Linked DNA regions of Tamandua tetradactyla. The protein of the gene in region 1 purifies or fractionates together with the protein of each later gene. This does not show direct contact. Links are inferred from orthologs where the notes say so. Each region holds a gene or a part of one and is shown in the gene's direction. Other genes may lie near its edges.

Evidence for each region.
Region 2: the proteins of LIG3 (region 1) and APTX purify together in Homo sapiens (affinity purification with mass spectrometry; 3 studies listed by BioGRID and IntAct, with this or other methods). This does not show direct contact. The link is inferred for Tamandua tetradactyla from reciprocal best matches to the Homo sapiens genes LIG3 and APTX.

What each region holds. Positions count from the first base shown.
Region 1 is NC_135332.1:46,371,098-46,381,723, reverse strand, and holds the start of LIG3 (DNA ligase 3), read left to right. Parts: upstream 1-6,295; 5' UTR 6,296-6,434; exon of another isoform or gene 6,435-6,438; intron 6,439-8,818; 5' UTR 8,819-8,822; coding exon 8,823-9,369; intron 9,370-10,626. UniProt on the Homo sapiens protein: Isoform 3 functions as a heterodimer with DNA-repair protein XRCC1 in the nucleus and can correct defective DNA strand-break repair and sister chromatid exchange following treatment with ionizing radiation and alkylating agents.
Region 2 is NC_135328.1:62,888,665-62,899,846, forward strand, and holds the start of APTX (aprataxin), read left to right. Parts: upstream 1-7,085; 5' UTR 7,086-7,152; intron 7,153-11,182. UniProt on the Homo sapiens protein: DNA-binding protein involved in single-strand DNA break repair, double-strand DNA break repair and base excision repair.

The sequences.
Region 1 (10,626 bases):
TGACCTGATTACATCCAATGCCCCTATCCTGGCCTCCTCAAGGAGAGTCCAGGTCAGTAGATCTAGGTTGGGGTATTGGAAAGAGTATTTTAAACAAGTTCTTTAAACATGTTCTTCATGTACCAATGCATGAAGCAATAAAGTAGCCTGTTATCTGTTGAGATAAAATGAAACCTGCCTCATAGGGTTACTATGATATTAAATTAAAACATATATGAATATTAAATACATATTTATATATTATGAAGATTAGATGAATATATATATATATACATTATTGAATGATTCTAATATGCCAGACACTATGCTTATATATTGCTTAGCACAGTGCATGGCATATAAGAAGCACTCAATAGCATACATTAACAATAATAAACATTCATTAAATAATTCCTTTATGTAAGTTATAGTACAAGGTTCTGCAAGAAATTCAGTGACATATACTCCCAAGAGAGCCTCTTTTGTTGCTCAGATGTGGCCTCTCTCTCCAGCCAATATGACGAGCAGTCTCATCACCCTCCCCCTCTCTGTGTGGGACATGACTCCCAGGGGTGTGGACCTTCCTGGCAACGTGGGACAAAGATCCTGGAATGAGCTGAGACTCAGCATCAAAGGACTGAGAAAAACCCTAGAATGAGCTGAGAATTAACATCAAGGGATTGAGAGAACCTTCTCGACCAAGGGGGAAGAGTAAAATGAGGCAAAGTGTCAATGGCTGAGAGATTCCAAACAGAGTCAAGAGGTTATCCTGGAGGTTATTCTTACGCATTAAGTAGATATCATCTTGGTGTTCAAGATGTAGTGGAGAGGCTGGAGGGAATTGCCTGAAAATGTAGTGCTGTGTTCCAGTAACCATGTTTCTTGATGATGATTGAACAATGATATAGCTTTCACAATGAGACTCTGTGAATGTGAAAACCTTATGTCTGATGCTCCTTTTAGCTACTATATCAACAGAAGAGTAGAACATATGGAATAAAAATAAATAATAGGGGGAACAAATGTTAAAATAAATTCAGTTTGAAATGCTAGTGGCAAATGAAAGCGAGGGGTAAGGGGTATGGTATGTATAGTCTTTTTTTCTCTATTATTATTTTATTTCTTTTTCTGTTGTCTTTTTATTTCTTTTTCTAAATCGATGCAAATGTACTAAGAAATGATGAATATGCAACTATGTGATGATATTAAGAATTACTGATTGTATATGTAGAATGGAATGATATCTAAATGTTTTTTTAATTAATAAAAAAAGTTAAAAAAAAAAAAAAAGAAATTGACATATATCAGTTGCTCATGAATGCAGGGACCGTGCTTATCTTATTACCCAATATCCAGCCAATGGCCTGCACAGAGTAGCCATTCAAATGAAATCTGTTGAACGAACGAAGACACAGTCCTTACCTTCAGGAAAACTCAATCTGATTGCATTGTAAACAGTAGAAGAAATTGGAGAACACAATTATTTATTAAACTACTGGTACAGGTATTGGAAAGAGAATTAATCAAAAGTATGAGGTCCAAGTTCCATCTTTGCCACTTACTATGTGATGTTCACCTAGTCAGCCTTAGTTTTATCCTCTCTGGGAACTCCTTAAGGACCCTCCCACTCTGTCTATCACCAAGATGAGACAGGAACTGATGGCAGAAGAGGAGAGCACAGTGGGCTGCACGAACAGGAAGGCCTCAGGAAGAAGGGTTGAGTGGAACCTCCCAGAGGAGGAGAGAAGAAAGAAGGGGGCTGTCCTGCTAAATAAATGAAGTGGCATGAGGTAGACAGTGTGCAACCAGTCTTCCATCTCTGCTGCGGTACCAAAGCTAGAAACTATCATTGGCACTATCTATCATGCAAGCCCAGAGTCCAGTGGAAACAGTACTCAACTTTTCTTCCCAAACAGGCCCTTTGTGAAACCTATTTTCTCTTTGAAAATAACATGACCACTTCAGACTAGAAGACCCAACTCAGAAGTGCAGGAAAATGGCAGCAACTCTGAGTCGTCTCGCCCCTTACCTGTGACCTCAACCCTCTCTTCTTACCCAAGCCCCAGAAGCCTTTGTCTTTGCCCTGGATCAGCTACTCCCAAAGGCACCCTTGACTCCTCTCGACTCTTCCTTATTCTTTCCTACCTCAAATGACAGCTGCAGCACAAAGACATTCAAAGGAGAAGCCAGGAAATCCCTCCAGTTAAGAACCATCTTCCACAGCCTTTATTATCCCTCCAGTTAAGAACCATCTTCCACAGCCTTTATTTAGAAGAAGACTCACTAGCTGATTTGAATTATTATATCTTCCTGCAACTGTTCCTTTTTAAACATTTATCCTGGCAAACACTATCACTGTTTTTTACAGCTTATTTTAATTGTGCGACTATTAAGCAAACCAAACCGTAAAATCAACTCTCACTGCTGAGATTTATGTGGTTCATAGACCAGAGCTTATCAAAAAAGGAATCCACGGAGAAGGTGTGAGGCCGCTTTCCTATCTCTGCCTGTGGCTTCCAAGCTTTTCATAGAGGGTCGCACAGAATCTACCCAATTCCCTCAGACTTTTTTTTCCTTCTTAACAATCCTGATGAATCTAAATGAATAGTCTTTGTTTTTTTAAAATATTGATATTTTTATTGATAAATCTTAACATATAAACAGTCCATACGTGGTGTACAATAAATGGCTCACAATATCATCACTTAGTTGTGCATTCATCACCATGATCATTTTTCAGAACATTTGCATCACTCCAGAAAAATAAATAAAAAGAAAAAAAAAACTCATACATACCATACCCCTTACCCCTCCCTTTATTGACCACCAGCATTTCCATCTACCCAATTTATCTTAACCTTTATTATTTGTTCATTTTCCACCCATATTTTTTACTCATCTATCCACACCCTAGATAAAAGAGCATCCGACACAGGTTTTCACAATCATACAGAGATTGTAAAAGCCATATCATCATACAATCATCTTCAAGAACCAAGGCTACTGAACACAGCTCAACAGTTTCAGGTACTTCGCTCTAGCCACTCTAATACACCATAATCCAAACTGATTCAGTCTAAAAGGGGATGGTGGAACTCTAAGAGAAGCTCACAAACAGGATAAATGTCCTGAAAAATTTACGATAAAGGTCTAAGGCAAGGACTTAATTATGAGATTGGGTGAAATAGATATCTTGATTATTTGACAATATAGTTCTTAGTTAGGACTATGGAACAGCTATCAGACTCCAATAAAAGCTCTCCCTCCAAAAATGCATGTTCACACAAACATTCACATAAAATTTTAAGGGGTTCAAAGGTACCCAATTCCATCCAGGCATCACTTGGGGTCCATAAGCCTCAGATTATTTCTTACTACTTCCACTGTTTACCCTCCCCACTCCCCCAAGCTACTCTTGTTTCTGTCCTAGTTTATTTCAGTAGCCACCCAGCTCATCTCCCAACTTCTCTACATAGTAGCAAGAGTGATCCTGTTAAAATACATCAGAATCATGTCATTTCTCTACTCAGTAAAGTCCATGGGGTTGCATTTCACCTGGAGTAAGAGCCAAAGTTTCTACAATGGCTTACAAGGATCTGTCTCCTTGCTTCCTTGCTAGCCTCACCTTCTACTCTTCTCACCCTTAACTCATTCTGCTGTAGCCACACAGATCTCCTTCCCGTTGCGTACATGCCAGGCACATTCTGGCTGCTGAGCTTTTACTGATACTCCCCTTCCCTGAGTTCTCCATGAGGCTCTCTCCTTCATTCCTTCACTTTGTCATGAGGTCTTCCTGACCTGTATTAAAGACTGCAACCCACCACCTTGCCCAGCACATCTGATCCTCCTCATCTGCTCTTTCTCCACTGCACTCATCCTTTTACATACTATGCATTTTACTTATTACTGTATTATTAATATTTATTTCCCACATCAGCCTGATAACTCCATAAGAGGAGGGCTTTTTGTCTGTTCTGTTTTACAGCTGTATTCCAGCTCCTGAAATAGTGCGTGACAGAGTAGGAACTCAAATACTTTACTGACTGATTGATGACTAACTAAGTGGTAAAACTTTGCAGTGGTATGAAGGTGTCTAGGCTGGGGAATGGAGGAGCATGCACATTTACCACAAAACTTCTAAGTGTGAAGCAGTTTGCAAGTTATACCAGCCATTTCACTTAATCATCACCCACAATCCTACTTCACCAGGAAAACTCAGTCCCCAAGAAGTTAAGAATAGAACCTGAGGTTATACATCTAGTGGCAGAACACAATTCAAACTTGGGTTTACGTGATTCCAAAGCACTGCTTTTCCCACCATCACAAATTACCTCATTCTCCTTAGGAGCAGTTCCTACTTCCCTAAGGAAGTGCAACTGTCGGCTCTCACACATGGTTCCATTTCACAGAGAGGGATCTGAGTCACAGAGACATTAGGGGTCCCTTGGGGTTCTAATTAAGCACAATAAATATTGAGAGCCTGAGACCTTTTGCAAATGTACATAAAACACATTTACTTTGTCAGAAAACTATATTATGAACATCCTTCCAAGGGACATCACTTTCTAAGTTTCATTCATTCATTCCATTCACTCATGGTTTTCCTTGATTTATTTATAAATATGTGCTGAGTGCCTATTATGTGCCAGGCACTGTTCTAGGCACTGGGGATAAAAAGATGTATAAGATACAGAGGTCACGTTCCACAAATAGGCTTGAAGTTTAGGACAGTGCTTTATCCAAAAGAAATATAATGCGAGCCACATATGTAATTTAATATTTACTAGTAGCCACATTTTTAGAAGTAAAAATAGGCAAAATGTATTTTAATAATATATTTTATTTAATCCAGTATATCCAAAATATTATAATTTCAACACGTAATTGAAATACATATATTATTGAGTTTTTAACATTCTTTTTTTTGTACCAAGTCTTCAAAATCAGTGTGTATTTTATACTCACAGCACATCTCAACTTGGATTAGCCACATTTTAAGTGCTACAGCATTGGACAGCACAGGGCCAGAAGAAAGGACAGATACATTTGAGGAGATTTTTAAAACAATGTTCTAATTGCAGTGATAATGTACCTTCAGGATCATTCAACTACCAGTACTAGTACTTTAGCCTTCATTGACCCATCAACCCCAAAGACCTAGATCATTTTGCTATACCAAAGTAGAGAAAAGAGAAAGGGGCTTTACTCTATTGCAAACAGTGGAATCGTGGTTGACCTCAATCAACGAAACTTAATATATCTAAAACAAAACATCCTTACCCCAAATACCTTTACCTCCCCTATTTTCTATTTCAGTTGATGGCACCATTATCTACTTGCTCACTTAAGTCATGCTCATTTCCTCTTTAGACAAATGAACATTTTATCCAGGAGGTAATTTTTTAACCTCTTATTTTGAAATAATTTCAAACTTACAGTACAGATTATAGAAGACTGTTTAGAATATAAATGTTTCTCAAAAACACACCTTCCTCTCCATCACAGCTACCTGAGCTAATTCAGGCCACTTAGCACCCTTGCCTTACCCTCTCTCCTACCCAACTTTGACAGTAATTCCTATTCTGTAAAACTCTTCAGGGCTCTCCATCACTTACAGAATAAAGGCCAAGCTCTTTATGACACAGCAAATAATTTCTTCCAGGATCTGACCTTTGCTTACTGAACAATTGGCCCAACTGTCCCCTGACCTTGAACGAGTTCACGTACCTTCTCTAAACCTGCTACCCCTTTGTAAAAATAGCCATCCTAATCTTTCATAAAGATCACTGGAAGTTCAAAGAGATAATATTTAAAACAATCTACAATGTAGGAGATTATTTCCCCACCATGCCTTTACACAGTTTCCTATCTATCATTATCGTCTATCCATCTATCGTATCCACATTGCGCCTTTTGCAGTTCAATAACATTTACTGAATACTTACTATATGCTAGGCATTGTGCAAGATAACGAGAAGGCGGAACACCGAGAGATCGGCTGAATAACGCGACCTTTGCCTTCCCCAAGCTCATTACAATGTAATTTCTCAACTAATACGCTTTAACTCAATTGGACTATATGATCTCTAACAGCACGAAAAAATCAGGGGGATCCTCAGAAGTTCCAGCCAGGCCGCACTTTGGGACACCACCACGTCCCCTTATCTCTGCTTCCCCAGGCGGCGATCGCAGTTCCGAACGCCCCAAAACCCAGACAACCAAAGACCAGGGCCACGTGGCACAAACTGCCCACGACCCACGTGGTAGGCCGGGGGCGGGGACCCGCGCCAGCGCCGAGACCTGCGGCGCAGCTTGGGCCTTCGCTTATGCGCTTGCGCACTGTCACCAGCTCAAGGACCCGGATTTAAAGAGACAGGAGCTACAACCGTCGTGGGCTGCCCACGGCCTCTGGGCGCCTGGACCCAAGGCCTACAGTGTGCGCTGGAGCCGGAAAGGCAGGTGAGGGCGGCGCGGCGGGGCTGGCAGTGTGGGGAGGAAGCCGGTGGGGACCCGAACCTCGGCGCGGTCCGGGAGCCAGCCCCCTCGGCTCCTCCCCCTCCCGCCTGCGGAGCCCGGGGGCACACCCTCCATGACGTGGCGGCCCCCGGGAGTCCACCCGGGAGGTGCCTGGTACCTTGAGGCACCCCCAAGATACCCGCGCGAGGAATAGTGCCTGCTCACATCCCCGGGCGTGCGGCCCTTCGGGGCCCCTCCAGGGACTTCTTCTGTGTCCCTGCCCCTGCATATTCCCCGCAACGAAGTTGCTGCGCTTCCCTAGGAATTTGGGAGCCTTTCTCGTTCCCAGCGTTCGCTGGCCGGGTGGAAGCGTGCTCCCTTCCCCAGCCCCGCTGGCTGTGCCCGCGGGTCCCCTCGGCCTCCAGCGTGCTGATCCCGAGGGACTCGGAGGGTCTAGCCTTAACGCCGCCCGACCCCGCTTCCCCGCCTCCTCCCTTCCTTGAGGCCGGCTCGCGGCGCCCGGGTCGGTAGTCCCTACCCACTCCGCGAAAGCGTGGCGGGAGGCCCCTTCAGCAAGGCAGCTGCAGGGGTTTCGCTTTCCACCCCGCTGCAGCTCACTGGCCCGTGGCCGTCTGCGCTTCTTTGAGACCTCAGCGATTTCCTGCTCGGGCTCCTTCCAAGGAGTTTATGCGTCGCGGTGGGCCAGAGCCTCAGGAGCCTCCTCTGAGGCTGAGACTAGGGCGCTGCGAGATGCTCTGGAGTCTGTTTCTTTAATTATTTACAGGGGCGTAGGGGTAGGCGTGACATAATTAGGTCTGTCTTCTAAGAAAGATTTCAGGTTCTGAGCTTCTCTTATGGGCCTGCCGTACTTTCCTATACATCATCTCTGTAGTTCTTAAACTTTTGAAGATTGTAGAACCCTTTGTGAATCTCATGAGAAAGTTATGAACCTTCTCTCCAAAAATACATTTACAAGTATGTACATTTTCAAGGAGATTAAACCATGTTACCGCCCCCCTCCCAGGCCATCCATGGGCTTATTTTAATTTTCACAACCACCCTGTGAGGCAGGTATTATTTTCCCTGTTTTAGAAATAAGAACGCAGACTCAGAGAAGTTAAAAAGTTTCTCAAAGTTAAAATAACATATATGCTGTATGATCAGACTTTAAGCTGCCAAGACTCCCTAATTTTTGAAAGACCCTATGCATTCCTCTGTACCATGTTGCAGTACCGTAGGTAAAGGCCTGTTTTTGTATAATACAATGGCAATTTCACTACAAAGCGGTGTGCAAACTTGAAAATGACTTCTAGTATTTTAAATATTAGAACTTTAATTCTTGCCTCCTGTGCGGGAGACCTGGGTTCAGTTCCTGGCCGGTGCACTTCCCAAACCAGGAAACCAACAAACACAAACAAATAAAAAATTCAACAAAATAGTGCTGCAATAGCGGGATACTCACATGGAAAAATAATGAAATGTGGTAACCCCACCATACAACATCCAAAAAAAAAGATACTTTGGAAGATATAAACAATATAAGAAGATAAGGAGATACCATTTGGATATAATCCTTGTTTCCATTTGGATTGATTTATCAGTTTCTTTGACTCTTGTCATCCAGTTACTTCAGAATTCTCTGACTCAAATTGCTGAATTATAGACAGGCATATAATTGTACATAGGGTACCACTGTTTAAAGTAACTTCTTCATTGAAGATAAGAGCTAACATTATTGAGCCCCTGATAATGTGTCCAACTCTTTTCTAAGGGCTTACCCCTTAGAACAGCAATGCTTTGAATAAGTACTATTGTCGACATTTTACAAATGAGGAAACTGAGGAATGGAGAGATTAAGAAACTACCAAGTTCACACAGCCGGTAAGTGGCTGAGCTAAGGTTTGAACCCAGGCAGTCTGATTCCAGGCTCCACTTAGTTGCCTCTCAAAATAGGGTTTTGGATTAAATCACAAATCCATGTAATGGTTTGTTTTCTAGAGGATGACGTGTTATATCTCACATTGAATACTTTATGGACATATGTAATTTTTCTTAATGATTAAAAAGAAACTTCACGACCTTATAATACTTAAATGTCATCATTCATTATGAGTCTCAGGGATTGCTGAGAAAACAGGATAAGCTTTGTATTATTTGGGTTCTCTTAGTTGTGATTACTGGATATACGTGTGTATATTAATCAAACACCTTTTGCAAACTGGATTTTCCATTTACTGGAACTCTTCTTCATCCTGTAGGAAATAAACTTTTAATACTTTTGATTAGTCAGCCTGGGCCATATAGACCTTTGGCTTTTGAGCAAATTGGAAGTTTATCTCCTCATTTATATCTCATTTACTCTGCTTCTCACCCTTTCATGCAGCTGTATGACTTTAGCTTTCAGGATCCTCTTTCCACCAACCTTCCGTGCATTCAGCCGAAAAGAACCGTGCCTGTTCCGAGAGCGACATCGTTGGCCTGACATCAGACAGTTTAACCAGTGGCTAGAAACAGATCTGCTTCATGGGCGCTGCCCTCTGACAAAAAAGCCTGTTCTGTCATTCCAGCAAGGCAATCAAAAACCACGAACCACTTGCCTTGTTTTCTTGCCAGGGTTGCATGTGGGACTCTGCAGTGGCCCCAGTGAGATGGCTGAGCAACGATTCTGTGTTGATTATGCCAAGCGTGGCACAGCTGGCTGCAAAAAATGTAAAGAAAAGATCGTGAAGGGTGTATGCCGAATTGGCAAAGTGGTGCCCAATCCCTTCTCAGAGTCCGGCGGTGATATGAAAGAGTGGTACCACATTAAATGCATGTTTGAGAAACTTGAACGGGCCCGGGCCACCACAAAAAAAATCGAGGATCTCACAGAGCTGGAAGGCTGGGAGGAGCTGGAAGATAATGAGAAGGAACAGATAACACAGCACATTGCAGGTGAGTGGAGAAAACTTTTCTCATTTCATTCTTGTCGGGAGAACAGGGATAAGGAGAGTAGAGTCCACTTTCTTTTAAACATTTTATTTGGAAATAATTTCAAACTCACAGGAAAGTTGCAAGAACAAAAATAGTACAAAGAAGATCCATATTCCTTTAACCCAGCTTCACTTACCATTGACATTTTACTGCTTTATGATTTGTGCTTACACATATTCTTACTAGCCCACTCTCTATGCACACGCATGCACAATTTTTTTTTGTCCTGAATCATTTAAGAGTAAGTTACATACATCATGAGCTTTTACCTTTAAATATTTGACAGTATGTATATCCTAAGAATAGGAATATTCTCTTATATAATCATGATATGGTTATTAACTGCAGTAAATTTATTATTGATATAGTAATAAATAATTACTATCTCTTTCTTCCAATTTTGTCAATTGATCAAATAGTATATTTAATTACATTTTTTTTCCAGTACAGGATCCCCATCTAGGATCAGATGTTGCATTTAGTTTGACATGTCTCTGGCCTCCTTTTTGTTTATGACATTGACATTTTTAAAATATAGAGTACCCACCCATGCTTTTTTTTATCTTATGAATTTATTATCTGTGTGGACTCGTGGCTTGCTACTTTCTCCCAATGGCTTAAAATTCATTACTGTACCTAATTATTTGGGTACTCAGTTGGTCCTTATGTGGGTACCCCTTCAGTCTGTTATCTGTATCTTTGTGACCTGCGCTCATCATTTTCTTAAAAAATGTTTTGAAGTTGTTCCTTACTTTTTGGTGTAACAATATATTCTTAGGCTCATCTTGTATGTATCCTAGCCCAGCCCTGGAATCAGCCATTTCTCTGAAGAGTCCTGGTTCCTGTTAGTGGGGCTTGGTATTAGAGACCAAAATTTGAGTGCTAGGTGTTCTCGTTGCCACTGGGGTAGTTTTGCTTCTAAGACCTTTTAGCATACAGTTAGAAAATGCATTCGTGTATATGTACATAAACACACACACACACATATGGACATACATGCACACGCACATCCATATGCCTATTTTAGAGACCTCCAAATCTAATTAATCCCTTAAGACTCTCATAATCCTTTCTGTAAAATAATATTCATATCTTTAGTTAAGCATGGTTGTAGTCCCTGTTACATCCCTTTTATAGTCACTGTTAGAGCCACTCTAACATTGGCTCTAAAACCATCTAAAAATGGGCATCTATCCTTGTGCTTTGAAAGGAAGAAAG
Region 2 (11,182 bases), on another chromosome or scaffold:
GTCAAAATATAAATTTTGTAACAAACATTTTTTGCTTTAGTCTCACACATAAGGTGAAATTTTAAAATACTAATTACCATCTATTTTCAGCACCCTGCAATAATGACATTCCTTTGTTCTTCCTCATGCAAAAACATTTTTAAAATTTGTGCATTGTACATTTCACTATTATTATACACTCTATGCATTCCTAGATTATACTATCTCAATCTTTAACATTTATCTTTCTTTTTGATTTCATTTATGCCCCCAGCCCTCCTCCCTCTATCATTCTCACATGCAGCTTCATTCAGTGTTTTAACATAATTGTATTACAGTTAGGTAGTATTGTGCTGTCCATTTCTGATTTTTTGGATCCAGTCCTGTTGCAGTCTGTATCCCTTCAGCTCCAATTACCCAATATCTTACCCTATTTCTATCTCCTGATAGTCTCTATTACCAACGAAATATTCCAAGTTTATTCACTAATGTCAGTTCATATCAGTGAGACCATACAGTATTTGTCCTTTAGTTTTTGGCTAGTCTCACTCAGCATAATGTTCTCAAGTTCCATCCATGTTGTTACATACTTCATAAGTTTATTCTGTCTTAAAGCTGCATAATATTCCATCGTATTAATATACCACAGTTTGTTTAGCCACTCGTCTGTTGATGGACATTTTGGCTGTTTCCATCTCTTTGCAATTGTAAATAATACTGCTATAAACATTGGTGTGCAAATGTCCATTTGTGTCTTTGCCCTTATGTCCTCTGAGTAGATACCTAGCAATGGTATTGCTGGGTCATATGGCAATTCTATATTCAGCTTGTTGAGGAATCACCAAACTGCCTTCCACAGCGGTTGCACCATTTGACATTCCCACCAACAGTGAATAAGTGTGCCTCTTTCTCCACATCCTCTCCAGCACTTGTCATTTTCTATTTTGTTGATAATGGCTATTCTGGTGGGTGTGAGATGATCTCTCATTGTGGTTTTGATTTGCATTTCTCTAATGGCCAGGGACACTGAGCATCTCTTCATGTGCCTTTTGGCCATTTGTATTTTCTCTTCTGAGAAGTGTCTGTTCAAATCTTTTTCCCATTTTGTAATTGGGTTGGCTGTCTTTTTGTTGTTGAGTTGAACAATCTCTTTATAAATTCTGGATACTAGACCTTTATCTGATATGTCGTTTCCAAATATTGTCTCCCATTGTGTAGGCTGTCTTTCTACTTTCTTGATGAAGTTCTTTGATGCACAAAAGTGTTTAATTTTGAGGAGCTCCCATGTATTTATTTCCTTCTTCAGTATTCTTGCTTTAGGTTTAAGGTCCATAAAACCGCCTCCAGTTGTAAGATTCATAAGATATCTCCCAACATTTTCCTCTAACTGTTTTATGTTCTTAGACCTAATGTTTAGATCTTTGATCCATTTTGAGTTAACTTTTGTATAGGGTGTGAGACATGGGTCTTCTTTCATTCTTTTGCATATGGATATCCAGTTCTCTAGGCACCATTTATTGAAGAGACTGTTCTGTCCCAGGTGAGTTGGCTTGACTGCCTTATCAAAGATCAAATGTCCATGGATGAGAGGGTCTGTATCTGAGCACTCTATTCGATTCCATTGGTTAATATATCTATCTTTATGCCAGTACCATGCTGTTTTGACCACTGTGGCTTTGAAGTTGTTGTTTTTTAAAATTTATTCTAATAGAAATGGAGGTGGGGGGGAAGAGTAGCACATTTCATTTAGTCTCTCAAAGTTAAAAGTTAACGTTTTCCCCATTGGAATGATAAAATATTCCCTTTAAAGCTCCAGGTTGGTAGATTGCTGCAAGAGACCATATATTCCACAGTTTACATTATGATTATTTTAATTCTTCACTTTGCTATAGAATATGTTCTAATTTAAGTTTGACACTACATCTGAATTTCCTTCTCTGCACATAAATTGTGATGTAGATATGATTGTTTTGCCACCATATTATTATTTTTTCAGAAAAGAAATTGATGAAAGGAACCGCTTATAGAAGTAGTTGCAATTTTTTGTAAACAATTTCTATGATGTCTCATGAACCCATGATATGACATCAAAATCTACTCTGCAAGATATATATATATCCTCTTTTCTTGCACTGGGCAGCAACTTATAAACTGCAACATCCTCAACAAAACAAAAGAAAAATTCCACTGATGTAATGACCGCTATGAGAGGTCTTCTCTAATCTTCTGAATGATTTATAACTCTTCTTGTATTTTTCACCCTATGGACACACTTTTATCATAGAATTTATGTAAAGATACATAAAAAAGGTATAAATTAAAAGTTTGGAGGATGAAGAAATAAAAACACAGGGAGAGACAAAATGGAGCTTGGAATGAGCTAAAAATGTGCATAGAAATGACCTTCAATTAAAAAAAGCAAAGAAAAAAACAATAATAAAAAACACCCAAACAAACAAAAGAAATGACCTTCATATATGGGCAACTGGGCCATGAATTTGTCTCTAAGCTAAAGCCTCATTGTATTCACAATTCATGGTGTCTGTAAGAAAAAACAAACCTGTTACTCTGGAGAAGTGAAACTATTCCTGGAATTGGGATCTGATTGGAATGTCTCCCAGGGGTGTTAATAAAGAGAACATTGTGTGATATGAAGAGCAGTGTCCTTGACAGCATTCCTAATGGGGTGACCAGTTCACAGGGATGCCTCTTAACAGCCCGATGGCTGCACACCAAAAGGCAATCCAATGAGTTAAAGCCAAGCTTCAGAGGTGGAGGACTGTTTTGGTGATCATGACTTAATAGCATTTATTTTTTTATGTAATGAGGGTCACATTTCATTCTTTTTCCAGGTGAGTATCCCCTTATTGCAGTAACATTTATTCTTTTTTTTTTTTTGAAGGGGGAGTAGTGCATGGGCCAGGAATTGAACCTGGGTCTCTCACATGGCAGACAAGAATTCTACCACTGAACTATACTTGTACCACCTCCTTAATAACATTTTATATCCAGCCAGTACTTAGCACAGTAATTGTCGTATAGCAGGTGCTCAGAAGTGTTTGTTGAGTGAATGTCAAACCCTGATTACCAAGATCTGATATCCTGCACCCCAACTTTGCACTCCTTTTGTAGCTATCAGGCAATATGAAGGAATTAAAGTGTTGGGTTAAACTGCCATTTCAACATTTTTATGTTCAATTTATTATGTTTTATCCAAATATGGGTGGGAAGTCAGGAGGTGAGGGATATGTGTGTGTATGTGTTCACATTTTTCTGGGTGTGGTAGTGGTGGTGTTGGGTGTGGTAGTGGTGGTAGTTAGTCAAGAAAGTGTGGTAGGAGAGGTTGGTTGGCAAGTGATCTTGAGAGCACTGCTGGCTTAGATCTTAACTCTCACTTGCAAGCTGTTCCTCAGAGCAGAGGCAGAACTGGTAATGGTGTCAAGTTGGGTAATGGGGTCAACTTGGCCAAGTGATGATGCCCAGTTGTCCGGTCAGGCAAGCACTTCCCTGGCCTTTGCTGCAAGGATATTTCATGGCTGGTTGTTAAACTGGAAGGCTAGTGTATTAAATCATCAGTCAGTTGACTGCATCTGTGGCTGATTACATTTGTGATCAATTATGGCACAAGTAAGGATTGTCTCCCACAACATGACAATCCAATCAGTTGAAGGCTTTTAAGGAAGAAGAGAGACCCTTTCACTGCTTTTTCAGCCAGAGAGCCTCTCCTGTGGAGGTTGTCCAGACCCTTCATCAGAGCTGCCAGCTTCATAGCCTGTCCTACAGATTTTAGATTGCCATGGTTGCATGAGACACCTTTATAAATCTCATATTTACAGATATATCCTGCTGGTTCTGTTTCTCTAGAGAACCCTAATACAGTGGGCCTTTGTTATTGGTCTCTGAGCTAAGCATCAGCGAGGCCCAGACACAGGTCACAGTGGTACCAACAGTAAAAGGAATTCAGTGCTGCACTAGCAGCCCTTAGATGGGCCTTTCCTGACCCTGCTACCAACCTCTCCCCCCAAAACTTTTTTTTTCTCAAAAGAGGTGTTCCAGCTATTCTCTCCCCTACAACTGTGTACTTTTCCTTCTTAGGACTTATTACCAATTGTAAATCTGTGCATGTGAAAGTAATGACTGTCTTCCCCACTAGACTGTGCCACAAGGGCAGGGAGTGTGTCTGTTTTGCTTACCTGTGCATCCAGAACATAATAGAATCTCAATAAATATTTGTCAAATAGAGGAACATTGAAATACAGATTCTAGCATTTGTCTTGCCCATATCAGTAATTTACCTTGACATGTTAATAAATTATACTTTGATGTGTACCTGAGTCTCATGTGAGTTAGATAGGTAAATCAGTCTCAAAGGGCCTGACCACCCTAAGCCTAATATTAGGAAGTCTCCATGAGCAAGTCTTTGGACTAGACCACTGCAGCCTTCTCAGGCTCCAACTGCACTTCCTTTATACCAGGACTCTCAAAATCAAAGGCATTCAGGGAGTCAGATTATATAAATAAATGGATGGGAACAGTGGCAAGTTGAAGAGCACATGGTAGCCACTCTCAGTCCCAGCTGTTTGTTGCCAGAAGTTGCTAGATTTACTGATTTTTTTCAAGAGACCAGGAATCCTGATTTTCTTGTGAGATCTAATTTTTAATTGTTGGAATAAAAAATAAAACTCCCTGAGCAGGCCAACAGAACACATTTTGAAGGGCACAGTTTCAAGCCTTTTCCTTCCATCAGTGAACCTCAAATTTGAGGGGGCATCGGGATAATCTGGAAGGCTTTCAAAAAATATTTTTGACAAATCTTCACACACATACAATTCATACATGGTGTAAATCAGTGGCTCACAATATCATCGCATAGTTGTGTATTCATTACCATGATCATTTTAGAACATTTACATCACTCCATAAAAAGAAACAAAAAAGAAAAAACTCATACATCCCATACCCCTTACCCCTCCCTCTCACTGACCACTAGTATTTCTATCTACTCAATTTAGCTTACCCCTTATCCCCTCTATTATTTATTTCTTTATTTTATCCATGTTTACTCCTCTGTCCATACCCTGGATAAAAGAGCATCAGATACAAAGTTTCCACAATCACACAGTCTCACTGTAACAGTTATATCTTTATACAATCACCTTCAAGGATCAAAGCTACTGGAACACACTCAACAATTTCAGGTACTTCCCTCTAGCCACTCCAAATACACTGTAAACTAAAAAGGGATATCTATATAATGCATAAGAATAACCTCCAGGATAACCTCCAGACTCTGAAATCTTTCAGTCACTGAAACATTATTTTGTCTCATTTTTCTCTTCCCCTTTTTGATCAAGAAAGGTTTCTCAATCCCATGATGCTGGATCCCAGCTCATCCTGGGAGTCTTGTCTCACATTGCCAGGGAGATTGACACCCCTGGGAGTCATGTCCCATGTGGAGAGGAGGGCAATGAGTTCACCTGCCAAACTGGCTTTTAGAGATAGGCCACATCTGAACAACAGAAGAGGTTCTCTGGTGGTGATTTGTAGGCCTACCGTTAAGTAGGCTTAGTCTATCTTTATAGGAATGTTTCATGGGGTTGAACCCCAAGATTGAGGGCTCGACCTATTGGTTCTGGAGGCCTTTTTAGAAACAGATTGTTGGGCCTCACCCCGAGTTTCTCAATCAGTAGGCCTGGGGTAGAGCTCCCAAATTTGCATTTTTAACAAGTTTCCAGGTGATGCTGATGCTACTTGTCTTGGAACTACATTTTGAGGGCTACTGCCATAGATAATATCTCAGAATACTCTCTACTCATTTTTATATATGTTTGTGATAAATCATTTTGCTTCTGGAGTGGTATCTATGAATCTCTTAAGTGTCATCACCCATATATTGTACCATGACCCTCCTTTCTTGGCCACCACTGCACTTTAGACAGTGGGCTTGATCTAACTGAAGCCATCGGTCTGGGACCTGGGAGGTGACCCAGTGTGGGAACTCTGCCTGATTTTTCACATCTTATTGTGAATAATACAATTAGAACGATCCCATCCCGGTTTTGAATGTAAGATACACAAAAGGCAGGGCAGGTAGAAGCAGAGACAAAGAGAAGCTTAATTCTAAGGGAAAAACAAAACTGGCTAGGTCACCAGAGTTGTTGCTTTTTATCTCAAGCACTTGTGAACCCACCATTAGGCCTGACTCGGTAGCTGAGATGCATCCGTGCCTCCCCACTTCCTTAGGCGACCTTAGTTTAAGCTTGCATTTCCTCTAACAAGAGCAAGTTCCTCTTTTTGTTTCCTGTAAGATCCTCCCACCTTCTGTCTTGATGACTCAGTTGTTTTCGCTATACTGTTGAGTTTTTGCTTCTATATGGAAGGAAACAAATTCCATCTCGACAAAGAAGCCTCTTATGGCTCAGTTTTTATCTAAGATGTTTGAGAAAAAATTAAAACAGCATGCCTTCATCCCTGAAATAGGGATTTCTCTACCTGACAAAATGCCTTGGAACAATTGCAAAACCTGACTCTGAGGGAACGACCTGGAACTGCTGTAAAAATCTGTAAACATCTCATCCTAGTATTCTGTTTCTCTACTCCCTGATTGCTCTTCCGTCAGTTCATTACTGAAGATAGCACTAAACAAACGAACAAAAAAAAAACCTCTAGCAGGTTTCCCTGACTCTCTTTCTTCCTTTCCTTTATTCCCAACAAAGGGAGAAAGTATACTATGGCTAAGAAAGGGAGAGAAGCAATTTCACAGCAGGTACCAACAGCAGAAAAGAGAGCCTCAATGATAGCGTCACCTCACAGGAGTGCAAAGAAGCTGCACGGCCGCCTGGAAACGTGGAACCTGCACTGGCCGCCTGAGGTCTCTTCCAGTTTAGACTGAGGGTGGTGACAGGAGAGCGACCCCCGAGCACAGAGGTGCCGCGAGAACTCCGTCTTCTAGGGACAGTTGCCAGGTTACCCACGTGAACCCCGGTCGACTGCTGGACGGGTTGGGGAGGACATTTCCCAGCCCGGGCTTGGGCGAGACTTTCTCAGCCAATCCTCAAAAGGCTCTGGTGACGCCACAGGTTGCGATTGCAGTCTCGTGACGTCATCCTGCAGCGCCGGAAGCTGTGCGGCCAGATGGACTGCTGTGAACGTGTCCATCTCTGCCATCTCGAGGTAAGGCGGTGATCGGCCTACCTCTTCTGTTGAAACCTGCAGGATTGGGCCTCAGGCTGGGGCCGCTCTGCCCCCGAGTAATGTTCCTTGAATAACGCTCTCACGGCTTCTTTCTCGGCAAGCGTTGCCCCATCCTCTGGCTCTCCGGAGAGCTCTTGTGCTCCGTTTCAGCGGGGCGGTCACGTTGGTCTCCGCCCTTTGTTCATATGTGCTCCGGATACCTGCACATAGCTTAGTCGCAAAAAGGTTAGTTAGAGAGTGAGTCCTTTCCTACCTAAGGAGGTGGTTCAGCTTGTTAGGAAGTGTTGTCCGCCAGAAACTCCCTGAAAGGAACTTGTTTTGATACCTTGAGGGCCTTCAAAGGAGACAGTGCACATCGTAAATAAGTGTTCTCAACAGGCATTACAGGAAGCTCAGAAGAAGCAAGTCTTTCTCCAGTGATAGAGATTTCAAAAGAGCAGCGATATAGTTTCCATTTGGGATTAATGTGGTCTAGGTTTAGAACCTTCTTGAAGTTTGCCTTATATTTGGAGTCCTATAGAATACTTTGGGAATATATTTGAATTGTGATTGGTCATAAGGGCAGATCATTGGGGTTTGTGTCCTCCCACCTTAGTTTGCAACGTCTGTGCTGTCTGATGGTCTTTTTCACAGGACCTTAACTTCTGCTTTCATCCAACCTTAACTATTAATAAGAATTATAATGGTTTTAAATGCTTTTTGCCAGACACTAAGCTTTACATACTTTTTCATTTTAATTAGCCCTTGTGATAACCCTGTGGTTTAGAGCAGTTACTGTCCTTTTACAACTGAGGAAGTAAAGTCTTAAGAGCAGTTAAATAACTTGCCTCAATTCACACAGTGAGTGGGTGGTGGAGCTAAGATTTGAATCCAGGCAATCCGACTTCATAGGCCTTGATGTTAACCATTGGTGTATGTTGTTTTGTCTTCAGTTGTGCATTAAGCTCCAAGCATTTCACTCTGTTGTTACTTTAACTGGATTGGGGAGAAAATTGAGGTCATCATATTTTTCTTTTGTAACAGAAATTAAGAATTAACAAATGATTACTATTACCGAATCATTACGTGCATGTTTGTTTATCTGTATTGTGGAATAGGTAGCCATTAATACCTGAGATTACTGAAACTCAACTAGTCTCACCTTTATTTACAGTTACTATTATAATGGTTATTCTAGCCTAATATTGGCCCTGTGTGTACTTACTATTTTATAATATTAACAACTCCATCCCTCACTTGTTTGGATTCATAAAAACCCTGAACTCCTTAGACTCCAGGAAATAGATTTTTTGGGTGGATAGGTCATTTACTCTCCTGTGTCACACTTACCATTAAACTCTTTCTCTCTTTGAAACCCTAGTGTCATAAATTGGCTGTTGTGCACATTGGGTAGAGAATCCACTGCTTTTGATTGGTATCACTTTCAAATTCCCGCTTCTCCCTTCCCTTCTTACAAAGTCATCTGTTTTTGTAGCCATCGTTACATTACTGTTAGTCTTCAAGAATGAGTGAACTCTTTTTTATTATTTTTTATCATAACAATCATTTTTTTAATGAAAAATAACATACATACACAAAAGCAATAACTTTCAAAGTGTATCACAACAATTAATTGTAGAACGGATTTCAGATTTTGGTATGGGTTCCAATTCCACAATTTTAGGTTTTTACTTCTAGCTGCTCTAAGATACTGGAGACGAAAAGAAATATCAATATAACAATTCAGAAATCATACTCATTTCTTAAACTCTACCTTCTCTGTATAATTCCACCATCACCTTTGATCTTTCTCCCACTCTTTAGGAGTATTTTGGCTATGCCTATTCTAACTTTTTCATGTTGAAAGGGGCTGTTGATAATATGGGATAAAGAAATGGACCTGATTGGTGTCCTTGAGAGGCTGGACCCTCTGCATTTCAGGACTTACCTGGTCCAGGGACCCATCTGGAATTTGTGGTTTTCTGGAAAGTTACCCTCTTGGATGGAACCTTTGTAAAATCTTATATAATGCCTTAGGTATTCAGATTGGCAGGAGTGGTTGTGGTTGTGGTTTGTCAAGTTATAATAGGTAGCAATGTTTAACTAAAGTTTGCCTAAGAGTGACCTCCAAGAGTAGCCTCTCGATTCTATTTGAACTCTCTCAGCCACTGACACCTTATTTATTATGCTTCTTTTCAACCTTTTGGTCAGGATGGGATTGTTGATCCCATAGTGCCTGAGCCAGGCTTATCTCTGGGAGCCATATCCCATGCTGCTAAGGAGACTTTCACCCTGGATGTCATATCCCATGGAGGGGGAAGGACAATGATTTCACTTGCAGAGTTGGCCTTAGAGAGAGAGAGGCCTCATCTGAGCAACAAAAGAGGTCCTCTGTAAGTAACTCTGAAGTATACCTATAGGTAGGCTAGGCTTCTCTGCTATATACATAAGCTTCTCAAGAGTAAGCGTAAAGATCAAGGGCTTGGCCTTTTGATGTGGGTGTCCCTACTGTTTGATACAGTATCAGGCGTTTGAGTGGATTCTTTTGATAAAAGAAAATCCCTTTATCTTTGCTTCTGACTTTTCTTTTACCTTTACCTGTGAGATCTTGTTTTCATTTGTTTTTCTCTCCCTTACTGTCTTTACCCCAGTCAAACATAAACAAAGAAATCAGGCTTTTTTAGATCTCTTCCTATCCTCACCTCAAAGAGAGAGAAAAAAAAGAAAGAAAAAGTCTTTGGTCATTGTTTTGTTTGTTAAAGCTGCTAGAACACAATATACCAGAAATGGGTTGGCTTTCGTAATAAAGGGAATTTATTAAGTCACAATTTTCTAAGGCCATAAAAATGTCCAAACTAAGGCGTCCACATAAATACGCTTTGACTCAAGGAAGGGTTGATGATGTTCGGGTTTCTCTGTCAGTTGGAAAGGCTCATGGCCACATCTGCTAGCTTTCTTTTGTGGCTTCTCATTTCAAAATGGCTTCCTGGGAGTGTTTTGCTTCTGCATCTCCAAACATCTCTCACTGTGTCAACCCTGAAGCTTTTTCCAAAATGGTTCACTTTTAAAAGACTCCAGTAAGCAACTCCACCTTGAATGGATGAAGATACATCTCCATGGAATCCAGCTGAGCAAAAGGTCCCACCCACAATTGGGTGGGTCGCATCTCCTGGGAAGCAACTTAATGAAAAAAATCCCACCTAGCAATATTAAATCAGGATTAAAGAGCATAGCATTTCTGTTATACACAGCAGTTTCAAACTGGTACAGTCATTTATCTTCTTTTAGCTATCAAGGAATAATTCTCTTCTTCTCATCTAGACTCTTTTAAAGATTATTTTGTCTCCATATCCTCATCTCTCATTCACTTCTGCAGTTTAGCTTTCAAACCCATCATTCCCCTGAAATTGTACCTTAAGGTCAGTAGTGACCGATTATCAAACCAGATGGACATTTTATATTTATTATTGGATCCCTTTGCTGCTTTTGAAACTTTATCAAGCACTCCTTATTTCTTTGCTTTCTGGACAACATGTTCAGCTAATTTAGGTCCACCACCTATGCAAAAGCTTTCTTGATACCTCCCTGGGTTGGGTACTACAGCTTTGTGCTCCCAAGCACAGACCAATAAATGCACTTATAACATTTATTATGATTGTTTCTATCTCTCTCTCCTTCACAAAACTCTGCCTTTTGAAGGCCAGAACCCATGCTTTCTCTGTGTAAGCCTTAGAATGGTACAAAACAATAGTAGGCATGCAGTAATCTTGATCAAATTATCAAATAAGTGAAACCAAAAGATAGTATGGTACGGTGGTAAGGAACCCATTCTTTGGAATTAATTCAAATCCAAGCTGTGCTAGACATTGACTATGTGACTTGACCACAGTATTTATCTTCTCTAAGTCTTAAATTTCTCTTCCTTATAATGAGATTTTTTATTAGATTAAATGAGATGATGTAAAGACACTTGGCACAGTACTTAGCACATAGTATGCATTTAATAAAGATATGCTGAACACCAGGACAT